Oryza sativa Japonica Group: one gene and its partners. Each later gene encodes a partner of the first gene's protein in a complex. Links are inferred from orthologs where the notes say so. Each region holds a gene or a part of one and is shown in the gene's direction. Other genes may lie near its edges. The genes, in order: mitotic checkpoint serine/threonine-protein kinase BUB1, mitotic spindle checkpoint protein MAD1, mitotic spindle checkpoint protein BUBR1 and mitotic spindle checkpoint protein MAD2.

Region 1 (4,089 bases):
TTCATGAATAGTAGTGACATTTTTTTCAATATGGTATATTTACGATGATATGGATCCAATTAACCCATTTTAGGACGGAGGGAGTAGGTGTGTATTAATAGTGTTTAACTGCTCTTGCTGCAAGATAGTCCTTTATTTTTCCATTAATTTGCTTCTTGCCATCATGATTAAAAAAACTCACAAACTATTTAGTTTCTTTTAGTTTAAAATGAGATAGACAACATAATTTAGTAACAAGTACATACTTTATAATCATATAACATCTGAAAAAAAAATCTAGCAATGCCTTTTTTTTTTGCCTTTTAAGATCAAGTCTTGTTTTTACCAAGTTGAAGCTAATATTTTTTTTTCAACGAGGATGCACGAGATATGTTTTCTATTTTGAATAATCCGTTACAACATATAAATATTTGGCTAGTACATTATACGATAAGAAAGATACTTAAATTGTGTTCTTTCCTTCCCTTTCCCAACTTCTACCACTCGTTTTTCGCACATATGCTTCCCAAACCGATGATTTTTTTTACAAAATTTTTCTATAGAAAAGTTGTTTTAAAAATCATATTAATCTATTTTATAAGTTTTTTAAGCTAATACTTAATTAATCATATGCTAATGTAATCCTCCATGTTACATACCGAAGGATTAGTTACTAACCTACCATACCGAACACAACGTTAGGCTGAGTTTGTTCTGACGGTCACTCAACACATGACTAATTAAGTATATTAAAATTTTTAAAAATAAATCAATATAATTTTCCAAGTAATTTTTCTATAATTATTTTCACAAATAATATATCGTTTAGCAGTTAAAAACCTGTGTGTGAAAAAAAGAATAATTAAAAGTTGAGAGAGGGGAGAAACGAACACAATGTGTGTTTAGTTCGTGCCAAAATTAGAAGTTTGGTTGAAACTGGAACGATGTGATAGAAAAGTTGAAAATTTGTGTATGTATGAAAATTTTGATGTGATGAAAAAGTTGAAAGTTTGAAGAAAAATTTTAGAAATAAACTCGGCCTTACATTTGGGGCCATAAAATTGCATGTTTATCCATCCTCCACAACTCTTCTCTCTCTCACCGATCTGATTGTGCTGTGCGCTTGTTCAGCTGTGCTGCTCGGTTTTTGCTCGCTATGTGCACGAAAAAAAATCCCAAAAATTATATTGGTCCATTTTATATCTTCAACCAGTTGTAAACACTAAACAGCTGTAGTAATAAGTGGGCTTAAACCTCAAAAATGGCTACACAAGCCCAAGCGATCCGCATCCCAAACCATTCGAAATTCAAATTATTCCCCTCTTCCGCTCCATCTCCTTCCCGTCTTTCTCTCTCCACACAGACAGCGCACGCATCCACCACCCCCCAACACGGGAGCGGAGAGCTCGCCGCCGGCGATCGCCGCAGGATTCTGAGGGCTTCTTCCGGCGGCCACGGGAGATGGTTCTGCTCGAACGCACGCCGTTGGTGGTGCCCGAGGCAGCAGCAGCAGCCGCCGCCGCCTCCAGCCCGCTCCGGAGGCCGTCGCCTAGGGTTCTGAGGGAGGTGCCCCCGCCCCCCCTCGATCCCATCCTCCCCTACCTCAGGTAATGGCTAGATCAGTATCCATATCAGCACCTGTTCCCTTCGATTTAGGTCCTATTTGGGGGCGTGGGATTCCGCCGTAGCGCTGCGTGGAATAATGCTTGGTTTCGCCTCAAGTTGTGTGGCGTACGCATCGTACTGGGATTCTGTCCCTTCCTCTGAGTTATGTAGTTAATTGGGCGTGTGATTTAGATTTTGACACTTCGCCTCTGCGATTCCTGTTCAATTGCTCAGTGGCAGTGTGCAGTTGAACTTGGACGAACGGAAATGTGAGAAATGGGGGCGTGTGTGTTCCGAAAAAAAAAAAAGAAAAGCAAAGGGTATGACCACCACTGTTTGAGTGTCTGGCAACGACAGAAGTGCATTTTGCCGAGACATTGTGACTGGTCACTCGTAATGTCCAGTGTTGGGACTTGGGAAGGATTTAGTTTTGGAGCTGATTTGTTTTGTGCAGCTAGGTTGATTTTTCTTGTGAAGGATTAGCTTGTTCATGTGGAGACGGTTCTCTTATTCCTTTATCAGTTCTTGAACTGTCAAGTAATGTAATGTGCCCACTTTCTGTGCTCCTTCTGTACTAATGTGCTGCTTTCTGATAGGTCCTTTTGGTAAAAACTTTGCATATATAACTTATTTTTATGTTCCTGGTACTATTATATCTATTTTATAAGGTAAATCTAATCTTTCATGCACATGCTGGTATTCATGCATAATTTATCTATGTATCACTGCGGTTTGTTTGTCCTGGTCAGGGCCCCAGTCCTGGTGTATGCATTCGTTTATGTTAGTTTCTGACTTGGTATTCAGGTCTATCAACAAGGCTATGGATGAGCTCAGGACAGGCCCAAAATTTGAAGCAGCAGCGCTTGATCGGCTCAAGATTTGTGTAATGGAATGCATTGATAAGTATGGTGACGATTACCAGTACTCCACAGACCCCCGACTCCTCAAGATCTGGATCCTCTATGTAATTGTTTGGCTTTGAAGTTTCAATTCTTACCTTATCCATTTTCTATCCTTTTGCTCATTTCCCCCCCACTTTGTTCTATGTTAGGCGGATGCAATAGGTGATTTTGATAAGGCATATAAGCAGTTGGAGGAGAAAAGAATGTTTTTAGAGCATGCACTGCTCTATGATGCATATGCACTGTTTCTCTTCAGTAAGGGGAAAGTGCTGGAGGCTGGTAAGGTGTATGAAGTTGGTATTTCCAGGTTAGTATGACACTGAATTATGTTTTTGTTGAAGTGAACTTTTTGGGCAGCAACAATCTGATGTCAAATTTGTCATGTTGATGTGATCGCAAATCATTTCCGTGGACCAGAAAAGCCGAGCCACTTGATCATTTGAAGAAGATGCATACGATATTTTTAAAACACTTGGAGAAGATTGTAGAAGAAGCAGATGCCGATGCCCAGGTATGATAACTGTGTGGTGGAATGGACATTAGTTGAGTCCTTGAATATTTGTCAAATGATTCACATATTTCATATTCAATTGCATTTTTAGTAATCAGGACATTGTGGCTGTGTTGTAGATTTGTTAGTATTTTAGCTATGGTCAGTTGGTCACAAGGCTGACAAACTTGCAGCAGTAAGAACTAAGAACTGCTTTGATATTGTTTCTTACATGATATTTCTCTGTGGTGGAACATTTGTTTTTCCAAAAAAGGTTGGCAAGCAATAGGATAATTGTCTTCACATTTCTGTGCATGTGAACTGTGATACATTCTACATAATTTATTCATTTATTTGCATGTTTGCATGTTGTGAACTTAATATTTATTTGGGGCTAATCACAATGATATCTACTTTGTACTTGCCGATCTTTACTAGCTCGAACATCTATAACATCTATTTCAACTAAATACATGACGGTTTATTTTACATTTTCATGGAAAGAGTTTCTGTTCTGTCATTCCTGCAACTCTATTTATACAAAAATAGCATGATTCTAGTTATTTAGAGTGGCTTTTTTTATTATATGTTTAGGGATATATTTTATTTAGTTTAATCATAGTTGGGAATGAATTTCAGGTTGTACTTTCCACTGATTCTTGTGGTGTATGTGTTCTATTATGAGTTTGTCTCGGAAATATATTATTTATGCTATGTGGTACATTGATAGAATCGGGAGTGCATTTGCACAGCTTTACCATAGTGAAGTCAGAACATAAATATAGGGCACTATCAGCATAACAGTGCCATACCAAACAATCTTCTTATACGGTTCAATTCATAAATAAATAGAGAAAATCGAGCAAATTGCAAAAGCAAAGAATAAAATGAAATATCGGGCTGAAGCCACATGATGTGCCATTGAAAGCTACATCCCTGCCCCTGCTTGAGTGGACTAATCATTACTAGATAAAGAAACATGAGACATGCAATTTCTATATGTTTTCGAAGAACAATATCTATATAACCCTGTTAAGCTTGTGAAGTAACTTATGCAAAAACCTTTTTTTGTTTCTTTTACTTGTCATTACTGGCCATTATTGTAGCCAGCAT
Region 2 (3,563 bases), on another chromosome or scaffold:
GTCCAAAATGAATGCATTTTTACCTGTATGGTTCTGTGCATTTAGGAAAAAGAAGTTGATGAAGCTAGAAGGTTGAAGTCTTCCCACACAAATGTTGAGTTACTTAAAGAAAAAATATTGGAGGAACAGGGGTGCAGGGAGAGAGCAGAAATGGAATTATCTAAGCTGCAGGAAATTGAAGCTAAAGCACAGAAGTTGGAGCTTGAATTAGCATCATGCACAGCATTGCTCAGCAACATACCTGATGTATCTTCTTTTGGTGATATACCTCAAAAGATCGCAGATTTGCAGAAGTGCGTGTCCATTGTTACAATTTCAATTTCATTTGTCTGCTATAGGCGAGCGCTATCAATTATCTGTGCTTCTTTCTTTCTTTATGTAAGGTTTATATGGTTATTTTGATTTTTAACAGGCAAGCATTGACAAATTTAAATAAAGTTGGTGAGGTAACATCACAGTTGAAAGAATTAAAGGTTGCATTGGAATTTGCTGATCTTAGCAAGCAACGGGCAGAAGGTGAAGCAACCCTTGCCAAAGAGAGGGCTGAAAGTGCTACTAGGGAGATCAAGCGGCTTGAACTTCTGGTACTGTTGTTTATTGCTATTTTTATAATTACTACTGTGATGCTAGTTTCTACTCCCCCCCTCAGTGCAATGCAATTCTGTAGATCCACTTGTGGCACCATAGCAAGTTCATAATCTGTTCATGCAACGATAACTCTTCCTCTGTACATTCTGTAATTACATTGATAACTTGTTCTTTCATACCCCATGATTTCATGCTGTCATTCCATTTGCTGTTTGTTTTCTGAACAGCTTGCTGCCATCAGTGAAGAAAGGGATAGATTAAGAAAGGACCATGCTGTGTCGAAATCTAGGGATGGAGATGATGCATCATCCAAGGTTTGTGATTTTTTTAATAAAATTGACAGTTTTGTGCCTTTATCATTCTTAATGGAATGCACAATATTTCTTGTGAGGTGACAATCCAGAATATGGAATCGGATCTATCTCGAATGGAAAAGGTAGTAACAGAACTGGAGAGCACTATACGTGACCAGAGAGAACTAATTAGTCAACAGCACACTGAGCTCAATTTGATGAATGAAAAATTGAGCATTGAATCAAGAAAAGCAAAATCATTGGAGCGAGATGGAGATCAACTACGCTCACAGGTGGCTTTACTTGAGTCAAAGGTAAGGGTTAAGATGAACTATTGAAATGGTATCTACATATGCTCATTCTGTTGTTTAGAGTAGTTTCATTTCGAAAAGGCACCCTTACATCTCATGTTTATCATGGTCCCATTTTCTTCATATTGCTTATATCTGTCTGGAACATCATAAGTTTGGATTAATTGTTCCAGTCCGGGCAACCTTTATTTATTTGTTTATTTGTAAGCAAACTATCAAGAATTTGGCTCCATTTATAGAGTGTACTGAGAAATGAAGCTTTATTCCTTTTAGTAAGGTAGCATGTCTATCTATCTTCTCTCATGAGCTGGTGTGAGGCTGTGAGGTACTGGACAGGGATGCTTCTCCTGCTTCTGTGAGAAAGCATGATTGGGACCATTATTTTTTTTCAGCTTCAAATGAAGCTTGGCTGAATGTTTTTGTGCTTAATTTCTGTTGTGTTTGTTGTATGTTGAGAGTTACCGTTTGCTGCTGGTGCAGTGATATATTGTTGGAGTCTCAAGTGAATGAATCTTCTTTTTTCAATAGAGTTGTTTTTCACAGTTGTCAGAAATGCCACTGTAAACAATACTAACTTAGCTGTTGATTAAAACCATGTTTGTACCTTGAATGTTCTTGTTATGTTTGACAGCTGGGCCATGGAGATTACTCTGCCTCTAGCACAAAAGTACTGCGTATGGTAAATACTCTTGCAGTGGACAATGAAGCAAAGCAGACTATAGAGGCATTGCAAGCTGAATTGAAGAAAACGAAAGAGAGGCTACAAGCAGTTGAAGAACTAAAAGGACAAGCTGGTGAGTGGTTTTATTCATCTTTTCGTCCTTGTGACAGTGTCCACATTTTTTGTTGGAACCGTGTGATAGAGTTACTACCTAAAGGATTGTAGGCTGTAGCATTCATTAATCAGTTGTCACCTACTCAGTTTTTTTAATTATTCAACAATATCTGATAACTCTTTTTTTTCTAGTCATTGCTCCATAGTCTAGCAAGATGTGAGAATCCTCAGATCTTCAACGCTTCATCAAACTTTAAATAGAATATTTATTTTACTGCAGATGTTGGAACTGTGGTTGATGTGAATATTGCTGAAAAGCTAGCACAGCTTAAAAATCAAATTGCAACCCTAGAGAAACGTGAAGAAAGGTACCCACTTTGTTATCTGTATGTTATAAGCTTCTGTTCATACTGATTTGTTAGAAAATGACCTTACAGTTTGTTTGAAACAGATATAAGGCAGTATTTGCAGAGAGGATCTCAGTTTTCCGAAAGGCTTGCTGCTCGCTCTTTGGTTATAAGGTATTATTAATATGACACAACCCATATTACACAGTGGATCAACCCTATCTATCTATTACTGCTATTTGTGCATTCTCCACCTCTTTTTTTTTAGAGATGAGGGATTCATGTTAGCATCTTGCGAATCTTACATAGTGAATCTGTATGCATTAGTATGCCAAGTCAGTGTTTTGGGATTTCATCCAATGTGAACCTCTTGAACCCAAATTAAAATTGACTCTCGATCCTGGTGTTTGAAGCTAAGGATGAAAGAGTACATCAGTATTTGTGTTGTGGAGTGTGGACATGGTTAGTTTGATACTTCTCAATCATGCTGTCTTTTGGTTTGAAAATTTTGATTGCCTTCGATTGTTGCATTGGTCATGCCTATTTCAGATAACCGTGCTCATCATTTTCTAGCTTCAACATTTCGTTTGATTTTTTCTCATGCCTTTATGTTTGATGTCAATACTATTTGACGTAACCTTTTCAATTTTATGGTTTTAGATAGTGATGAATGATCAGCAACAGTCAAATGGGATCCCTGTAACACGTTTTATTCTGCATTCTGTTTACGCCCAAAGTGATGATGAGAAGCTTGAGTTTGACTACGAATCTGGAAGCACCAATATTGTGGTAGGATTATTACCTTGCTGAAATTATCATTCCTATAATTTAACAGGGCATTATTTGATGTTATTAATGTATATACAGGTCAATGACTACACTTCTCAACATGAAATTGCTCAGCAGGTATTCAGCGTATTGGTTGCATTTGACTGTATTTCTTTTTTCTGATGCATGGATGAAATAACTAAAAAGTAATGTTACAGATGTGTATAGGAGGAAAGTGTGGAAACATCGTTATTTATTCTTGTCTAATATGACTATTTATTTATGTCCTCTAGTTTTGCATCTAGGTTGTATGCTGCACAAATGAATAGTCTGGTTGGTGTCTTAGTGAATTGCGTTAGGATGCAATAGATAAATCCCAGTGGCTAGATAGGTGTACATTTACTTAACACATCACATTTCATTTAAGGCATATCTCTTGGGGTGCTCAGGAACCAGCAACCAAGATGTTTCTAATGAGAAT
Region 3 (4,201 bases), on another chromosome or scaffold:
AGGAGCACCTTAAGTAGTAGTATTCCACATAGTGCTAAGTGCTGATCTATCCTATTGAATTGCCTGCTATATTGTTTTGAGAATGAATTATATGTTTATGATTATGCTTTAGTAAAATTTCTCACTTGAGTTGCATTGTTCAGGGAGGAGTGACCGGAGGGAATGCAAGACCCAAGAGGTATGCCACGAGATGAATTCGCAACCCCGAAGACGCACAAGAGAAAGGTCGTTTCCCGCCCCTTGCCTCCCAGCCAAATAAAAGCTGAACCTGAGCTGCTGCGGAGGGAGGTTCCACTCACATCCGGCAAGACCAAGAAAGCCCCTAAGATAACCTTCAAGAATGAACCTCGCCATTCGGCTCCGCAATCTGATTGGGGAACCCCCGATTCGGTGCCAGAGTTCGGTCCAGCTGATGAATACAGAGCGTTACGGAAGAAGTACCTGCTGCTGGAGGATGAGAACGGTGAGCTGGACAAGCAATTGAGCCAGGCTGAAGAGGAAGCCAGCGTTCTCGAGGATGAAAAGTTTGCGCTGCTGGATCAGCTTGTTGTGTTGGAAGGCCTTGTGGATCCTTCACAGATGCAGCCACCGAGAAGGCTGTGAGATTCTATGCGTGTTCGTTGCCTGTTCATAGTCCAATTAAGTTACCTGTTACTGCTTCCTGCTAGATATGTAACCAATTGTAATGGAAGAGCAAAGACATATTATATCGTTTATTATGGAAGTTTGAACATTTAGAGCACTTGTTTGGAGTTCTTTTTGTGCAATATGAAAGAGTGCTATCAGTTTAACTGAAATTTAATCGTGGCAAAACAGAAAGTTCAGCAAGCATGAAGCTTTGCGCCTTTGCCTCAAGTTTGAGTTATGCTTTTAAGAACTACGCAACTGGTCTTGGGGAAAAAAGCTGAACAATTTGTGTTTCATGTGATTTAAGAAACTAAATCTGTTCATGTGAAGATCAACTGATCATCACAAACTTCTGCGTAATGTTTGCACAAACACATATACTCCAGCATTAACATAAAAAAAACAAAACTCATTCATCACGGCGAATTGACGGGCCACAATTTTAACAGTATGATTTCTCAAAAATCTTTCTACAATAGCATTGTTTCGATAACCTTTTCTAACCAAATAATTAATTAACTTCATAATCTACAGTATATTGAATTAATCTATGAATTTATCGGCTAATTAGCTGACAAGCTGAACAGGGCTGAGACTGAATTTCTTCATAGTGACTCTGCCGTGTGAGTGCTGACGCAATCAAGATCCAACAATTTTAGGCCCACATAAACTTTCCAAGCCCAACTCATGAAAAGCCCAATTCTTTTTCACCTTATATAAACCCGAGCAGCAGCAGCATCCGCCTCAGCTCAACGGTCAAAAATCTCTTCCAATTTGAATATCTCTCCTCCCAAACGGTCGGCTCCGGAGCGGCGCCCGGACGAACACATGGCGGCGGCGATGGCGACGACGGCGGCGGCGGCGGCGGAAGAGGCGGTGGTGGCGCTCGACAAGGAGACTCTGATGCTGATGGGGTGCGGCGACGCCCCGCCGGCTGCGCCGTGCGCGGAGTGGGAGACGTTCAAGGAGAACGTGCGGCCGCTGAAGCGCGGCCGCAACGTGGGCCTCCTCAACCGCGCCCTCAAGGCGCACGCCGACCCCGCCCAGCGCGCCGCCCTCCTCGCCGCCCGGAGGTACCGCCGCCGCTCCCGTCACCCGCGTCTCTCGGTTCTTGGGTTTGGTTTGCTCTGGATTTCTTGATTTGGGGGCGGGTCTCTGGTAATCTTTTTTTTTTCGTCCTACGTTTGATTGATCTACTGATTCAGGAAAATGATCGAGGCAATCGACGAATACAGCGGCGAGGATCCGCTCCAACCATGGATAGAGTAAGCAATTTCCCCTTTGTTTCATTGATTCGTATACTAGTAGTAGTAGGTTGAGCCGAAAGATTTGCCATGTCGGCGATTTCTCTGCGGTTTCCGCAAGCTTGCTGCTCATGGCATGCCTTTGTCTGCTTAATCCACACGCAGCTGCATCAAATGGGTTCAGGAGTCGTTTCCGACAGGCGGGGATTGCTCCGGGTTGGTGGTGATCTACGAGCAGTGCGTGCGTGCCTTCTGGCACGACGACCGCTACAAGAACGATCTCCGCTACCTCAAAGTGTGGCTGGAATATGTGAGTTTCATGAATTCAGGATTGGTTCTGAGGTGGATTGGTTGGATTGGATTGGATTGGTTTGGTTTCCTTTTGACATCCAGTTTGGCTTGATCTTAATCTGTATGCAGGCGGGGAATTGTGCTGATTCCGAGGTGATATTCAGGTTCCTGGAGGCCAACCAGATTGGTCAGAGCCATACCAATTACTACTTGTCCTATGCGTCGGTAATGGAGTCCAAGAACAAGCTAAAGAAAGCTAATGAGATTTTTAACCTTGGTATTGCCAGGTGAGAATTTTATGGGGGATTGGTAGTTTAGTTTCTTCAGATATGAGAAAGGTTGCGGATTTTCTTCAGTGCTAGTCTGCTAGTAGATTATTTTTTAGTGATAATAGATAAGTTCCTTCTAAATTTCCATATAGCCTTTGACAAAGAATTCCTGTTCTAGATTTGAAGTCTGTTTTCTTCGGATTTTTAGTCAACAAACATATAGTCTTACATATCCCCATTTACTGTTTTAGTTCTATGAATTATAGTAACTAAAATGCATTAAACTAATTTGGAGTAAGCTTATGAACCGTTGTAGCTGAAAACTTTTACCTTCTCTATTTGTTTTTGGAGGGATATGACTTTTCTTGCCACTCTACCTATACCTTAATACCTAAAGCATACGATTTATGCATTTGTTTGACTGCAAGGTGTATAGTCTTCCATATTCCCACTCACCATTTTAGCTCTATGTATTATAACTAAAATGCATTAAACTGATTGTGGAGTAAGCTTATGAACTGTTCTAGATTAAAACATGTATTCCTGACTTCTCTATTTTTTGTTGGAGGGATATGATATAATTTCTCAATTTTCTGCTCTACCTACACCTTAATACCTAAAGCATACTATTTATGAATTTTGTTTGATGGAATGGTGCATATTAAACCGTAAAATTCTTTGGCTTTTTTTTTTTTGGTCAGGAAAGCAAAGCCTGTGGAGAAGTTGGAAACTACATACAGGGCATTTCTTCAGAGATCATCCAAAAAGAAGGCACATCCTGAGGTGTACATAGGCTGATTTAGTACCCTATTTTTAATCTATATTCCACTGCCCACTGAATGAATTCTATTATCTGTTGAAACAGGATGACACAACTACTGATGATCATCCAGTACGCAACTTTGGGACTGTCTTGAACCGTGGTGAAATCAGTAAGTTTGCTGTGATGGTATGATTAACATCAATTTCAAGTGCCTGGCTGGGTGAACTAATGTTGCATTTTGATGTGGCAGGAGGCCAGCATGCAGAAAACTCTCACCTGGTGAAAACTCTGCAAAGGTTATTACTTGTTATACGCATGCAATCAGTATAAAGAAATCTAGATGAACCTGGAATTTTTTTACTGGTGTTGATACTGTTGCAAATTTGCAGAGTTGATGTCAATAGGCCACTTGCAGTTTACACAGATGAGAATTCGTTACCTAGTCATGGCCTTGCTAGAACCAGGAGCAACAACACGGCCTGGCAGACCCTTGGATCACAAGCAGATCGGAACAAAGAAAATAACATGAGGCCTGCTAAATGGACATCACACAAGGTTTTTTTTTTCTCCCCTAAGCCACTAGAATTCTTCAAAAGGTCCCTTTTTGCGACATGTCTCGAGGTTTATCGGTTCAGTAATGATCAATGAACTGATGATAGTATTGCACTGAACAACAGATTCCTCAGAAGGTTGGATCGAGGGCAGCAGTTCAGCCGACTCGTGTAAGCTCCATTGAAGTCTTCGTAGATGACGAATGCGCCGAGTATGCTACTGTGCCCTTAAGTTAACAGTTTTGAATAGTTCTTTAAAAAGAGTAACTGTAAAAACGTATAATTTTTATATACCTTCCTTTGATTATTTCAGGGAACCAGTTCCCCAAGTGCCAAAGAGTACAAAACCATCTATTCTGAAGCTTAGGCAAGCAACAAGCAGAAACCTCAAGCAGTAAGAATAGTTCAGCTTATATTATGTTTCCAGAGGTTCTGTTCCTTTCTCATTTTTTTTTA
Region 4 (3,749 bases), on another chromosome or scaffold:
AAGAAAAAAGGTTGCACCAAAAAAAATCAAAGGAAACTTTCTCTTGAAAAATAATCTCTACCGAAACAATATAATCCTACTTGAATTTTAAATACATCCAAATTAACTTTCAAACAAAAGGCAAACAGAATGTCAGTGCTAGTCAGTGGCTTTTAAGGCATAGGGGTAGTTTTTAGTATAGAATCACATAGTTCACAAATATATTAAAAACTATATTTAGATTATTGAGTATATTATTATCGCCATTATATAACCGATTATAGTGGTTAATTTAATATTTTAAGATAAAATATGTCTAAAATGAGTGGTCTAAGTAATACTCCCTACATGCCAAAATGGGTGTTAGGCTAAATCACTTCTAACGCAAAAGACCGAGAAATAATTTGATTATCGCATCGGTTAGATCACATCCGTACAGGCAAGCAGTGTGATTGGGGGCTTGATGGTAGATGGTTTAAAACAAACCAAATTTAAAGGACTAAGAGGTGATAGTTAATGTGCATGCATGCACACACACCTTATATTACAAGACATGGAAAAAAGTTGTTGTGCCGTGATGGAAGGACTACAGTATAAGTTTTTGTATTTTCAAAACATAATTTTCCAAACCGTGAATCAAATGATATGCTCTGATAATATAATGAATAAGCGTATTTTTTTAGTCTGGTGAAGAATAAACTTTTCGATTTACAATTCGGCCGAATAAGCCCAGAAAAACAGTAAGAAACAGATGTCTCGTTTGGTAAGACGCTCATTTTGCGAGAACACTCTAACCAGCTTTACTCTATTTTTTTTGGTGAAACCAAAATTGTTTGGTAAGTTATAACTGTGCTAAACGGACGAATATGAGGGCAAATAGGGGTTGTTGGCGGCAAAGGGCAAATACCTTCCCTCCGTTTCTAAGGGTATTCCCAACCCAATGTCTAGGATGATGTCCATAACATTATATAAGTTGCCACCTAGGATAAAAAATGATGTGGCAAGTAAATAAATGAGGAAAGAGAAGGAAACCATGTCTTGCATGAGATATGGTTTCTACACAAAATATCATGTAAGATAAATTGCATTAAATTGAAGTATGGAATAGTGGTGTTTATATTGAAAGAGTAGTGTCTAGTACTAATTTCTTGATGATGTAGAGTTTATGAAAACTATGTCTAGTGTTATGGGTTGGGACTGCCCTAAAGGCCAACCGTCCGAACAAGTTCAAAAACCCAGCCACCCAGGAGCATTTTCTCCAAGAAAATGGTGTTTCTACGGTTCTACTAGTAGTCTACTGGTACCAGTACAATTCATCATCAACAAGAGGTAAAGGACTCGAAGAGAGCGCGCGGCTTGGGCGAATCGCGCCAACCGAAGCCCACTGGCCCACCGCCCACACGACCGTTGGGAGCGCAGGTCCGGCCCACCTTTAAAAACTCCCGAAACCCACCCGCACGCCGACACCTTCTCTCCCCCGCACCTGACCCAACACGACCCATCGACAAACAACGCTCCCAAGTTCCCAAGCGCCGCAGCCCGCAGCCGATCCGCTCCACACTAGCCGTTGCCTTTGCCCGGCTTTTCCCCCCCTTTCCTCTTTCCTCTCCCCCCATCCGCCGCCGCCGCCGCCGCCGCACGGGAGGCAAGAGGAGGAGTTAAGAAGGTGAGGCGGATCAGGAGATGGCGTCGAGGACGGCGTCCAAGGACATCATCACGCTGCGGGGCTCCGCCGCCATCGTCAGCGAGTTCTTCGGTAGAAGCCGATCTCCGCTTCCGTTTCTTTTATTTTTTTTCGCCCTCGGCTCCTCTCACGCGTGCGCGCGCCCGATAGGTGTTTGATCGAATGCCTTTTCTCGTGTGGCAGGCTACGCCGCGAACAGGTGCGCGCTTCGCGCGGTTGCGGGTGCCAGGATCGACGGCCGCCGCTGCGCTGATGCTGGTTTCCTTTGAAAGAAAAAAAATATAAAAAACGGTTGCTGCAGATTCAGGGTTAATTTCTGATCCGGGGTGTTTTGTGTTCTTGGTTTGTGCGTGGCGCAGCATCCTGTACAACCGCGGGGTGTACCCGGAGGAGAGCTTCACCAAGGTGAAGAAGTACGGCCTCACGATGCTGCTGACGCAGGACGAAGGGGTGAAGACCTTCATCGCCAACCTCAACACCCAGCTCTCAGGTCGTCTGGCCTCACTCACCGGATCACTAGCCTGCCTGTCTCCATTTGGTTTCTTTTTTCTTTTTCTTTTGCTGCTGCTGATTGATCTTGCCTGTGTTTCCTGCGTTGCCGCGCGCAGAGTGGCTGGAGGCCGGGAAGCTGCAGAGGATCGTGCTGGTGATCATGAGCAAGGCCACCTCCGAGGTGCTGGAGCGGTGGAACTTCAGCATCCAGACCGACCCGGAGGTGGTCGACAAGGGTGTCATCAAGGAGAAGAGCGACAAGGAGATCATGAGGGAGATCCAGGCCATCATGCGCCAGGTCGCCTCCTGCATCACCTACCTCCCCTGCCTCGACGAGCCATGTAAGCGCCATTACCACCACCTCTACTTCTTCAGTGTTCAGTGTTCATCGCCTCTGCTCTCCCCCCCAATTCCTCCCAGCTCATCCGCATTCGTCGATTGATTGATTGATTGATTGATTGATTTTGCAGGCATATTCGACGTGCTGGCGTACACCGACATGGACGTCGCGGTGCCCTTCACCTGGGTGGAGAGCGACGCCAAGCTCATCGAGAATCCACAGATGGTGAAGCTGCATTCCTTCGACACCAAGGTGAATATCACTGAATCGACTCCGTTTCTTTTTTTTCGCTGCCTCTCCCAGATTGCTGACGTTACAGCGCCGTGTTCTTGCCATGGCAGATTCACAAGGTGGACACGCTCGTCTCCTACAAGGTCGACGAGTGGGACGAGGAGTAGAAGCCGCCGGTGGAGGTTGGAGCCATGAGGAGGAGACCCCCTTGCTAGTTTATTGCTGCTAGCTTATTTAGCTAGCTTAGCTTGCTAGGCGTGATGCTTGTGTGAATCGTTCGTTCATTCACGCCCTAGCCCTATCGGAACTCGTGTGCTCTGGGAGAATCCCTTTTCTTGTTCTTTACCGCATTTTGGGAGAATCGACTGTGTATCGCTGCTTCACCATGATTTTTTTTTCCTCAGCCTTTGAAATCCTGGGTTGAAAGTACCACTGGAGTTGAATGCATCGTGATCGTGTGCCACGATTTCTTCACTGTGTTGTTCAATTATATGTGTTGTTTCTCACTTCAGAATCTCAAAAGATTCAAGGTGTTTTGAAGTCATATGCTCTGTGAATAACAAAATGCACTTAAATTAAAAGTAATTCTGTACCATCTTCAATCTCAAGACAGCCGTATCCTCAAAGTTTATGTTATATCGACCACCGTTTTTCTTGTCAAAACTTGCATATTAAATTAGAAGTAATTTTGTACCATCTTCAATCTCAAGACAAAATGCACTTCTGCTGAATGAATTTATTCCAGCTTCGGAACTTCCAAGGCTGTTTGCAACAATCCATCAGAAATCTTACATTTTGCCAGACAACCTTCGTTGTCCGGACAAATTACACTTCTGATGAATGTATTTGTTTCCAGCTTCCAAGACTATTTGTGACAAATGTAAAACCCAGTATCAGCATGGGTAACAAACACATTGGAAACTAACTAACACCAAGATGCTACAGAGCTACATTTACATTTACATATAAACCAGAGGAACCCCAGGACCTGTTGGCAGCAACTAACAGGTCCTCATTTAGGCT

Evidence for each region.
Region 2: mitotic checkpoint serine/threonine-protein kinase BUB1 (region 1) and mitotic spindle checkpoint protein MAD1 share a complex: the UniProt entries of both Arabidopsis thaliana proteins name them as parts of the mitotic checkpoint complex. The link is inferred for Oryza sativa Japonica Group from reciprocal best matches to the Arabidopsis thaliana genes AT2G20635 and MAD1.
Region 3: mitotic checkpoint serine/threonine-protein kinase BUB1 (region 1) and mitotic spindle checkpoint protein BUBR1 share a complex: the UniProt entries of both Arabidopsis thaliana proteins name them as parts of the mitotic checkpoint complex. The link is inferred for Oryza sativa Japonica Group from reciprocal best matches to the Arabidopsis thaliana genes AT2G20635 and BUBR1.
Region 4: mitotic checkpoint serine/threonine-protein kinase BUB1 (region 1) and mitotic spindle checkpoint protein MAD2 share a complex: the UniProt entries of both Arabidopsis thaliana proteins name them as parts of the mitotic checkpoint complex. The link is inferred for Oryza sativa Japonica Group from reciprocal best matches to the Arabidopsis thaliana genes AT2G20635 and MAD2.

The regions. Positions count from the first base shown.
Region 1 is NC_089041.1:19,550,915-19,555,003, forward strand, and holds the start of mitotic checkpoint serine/threonine-protein kinase BUB1, read left to right. Parts: upstream 1-1,277; 5' UTR 1,278-1,440; coding exon 1,441-1,586; intron 1,587-2,388; coding exon 2,389-2,548; intron 2,549-2,635; coding exon 2,636-2,793; intron 2,794-2,903; coding exon 2,904-2,997; intron 2,998-4,089. UniProt on the Arabidopsis thaliana protein: Serine/threonine-protein kinase that performs 2 crucial functions during mitosis: it is essential for spindle-assembly checkpoint signaling and for correct chromosome alignment. Has a key role in the assembly of checkpoint proteins at the kinetochore.
Region 2 is NC_089035.1:38,697,429-38,700,991, forward strand, and holds part of mitotic spindle checkpoint protein MAD1, read left to right. Parts: intron 1-45; coding exon 46-293; intron 294-412; coding exon 413-584; intron 585-815; coding exon 816-902; intron 903-991; coding exon 992-1,195; intron 1,196-1,823; coding exon 1,824-1,986; intron 1,987-2,247; coding exon 2,248-2,335; intron 2,336-2,418; coding exon 2,419-2,488; intron 2,489-2,974; coding exon 2,975-3,103; intron 3,104-3,181; coding exon 3,182-3,220; intron 3,221-3,563. UniProt on the Arabidopsis thaliana protein: Required for the execution of the mitotic checkpoint which monitors the process of kinetochore-spindle attachment and delays the onset of anaphase when this process is not complete.
Region 3 is NC_089036.1:5,218,488-5,222,688, forward strand, and holds the start of mitotic spindle checkpoint protein BUBR1, read left to right. Parts: upstream 1-1,373; 5' UTR 1,374-1,455; coding exon 1,456-1,700; intron 1,701-1,832; coding exon 1,833-1,892; intron 1,893-2,036; coding exon 2,037-2,181; intron 2,182-2,291; coding exon 2,292-2,449; intron 2,450-3,132; coding exon 3,133-3,214; intron 3,215-3,296; coding exon 3,297-3,363; intron 3,364-3,444; coding exon 3,445-3,490; intron 3,491-3,583; coding exon 3,584-3,749; intron 3,750-3,871; coding exon 3,872-3,957; intron 3,958-4,058; coding exon 4,059-4,139; intron 4,140-4,201. Other genes in the region: uncharacterized protein, read left to right, coding at 163-603. UniProt on the Arabidopsis thaliana protein: Essential component of the mitotic checkpoint. Required for normal mitosis progression. The mitotic checkpoint delays anaphase until all chromosomes are properly attached to the mitotic spindle.
Region 4 is NC_089038.1:24,797,617-24,801,365, reverse strand, and holds mitotic spindle checkpoint protein MAD2, read left to right. Parts: upstream 1-1,441; 5' UTR 1,442-1,662; coding exon 1,663-1,735; intron 1,736-1,846; coding exon 1,847-1,862; intron 1,863-2,022; coding exon 2,023-2,153; intron 2,154-2,271; coding exon 2,272-2,496; intron 2,497-2,625; coding exon 2,626-2,747; intron 2,748-2,836; coding exon 2,837-2,893; 3' UTR 2,894-3,200; downstream 3,201-3,749. UniProt on the Arabidopsis thaliana protein: Required for the execution of the mitotic checkpoint which monitors the process of kinetochore-spindle attachment and delays the onset of anaphase when this process is not complete.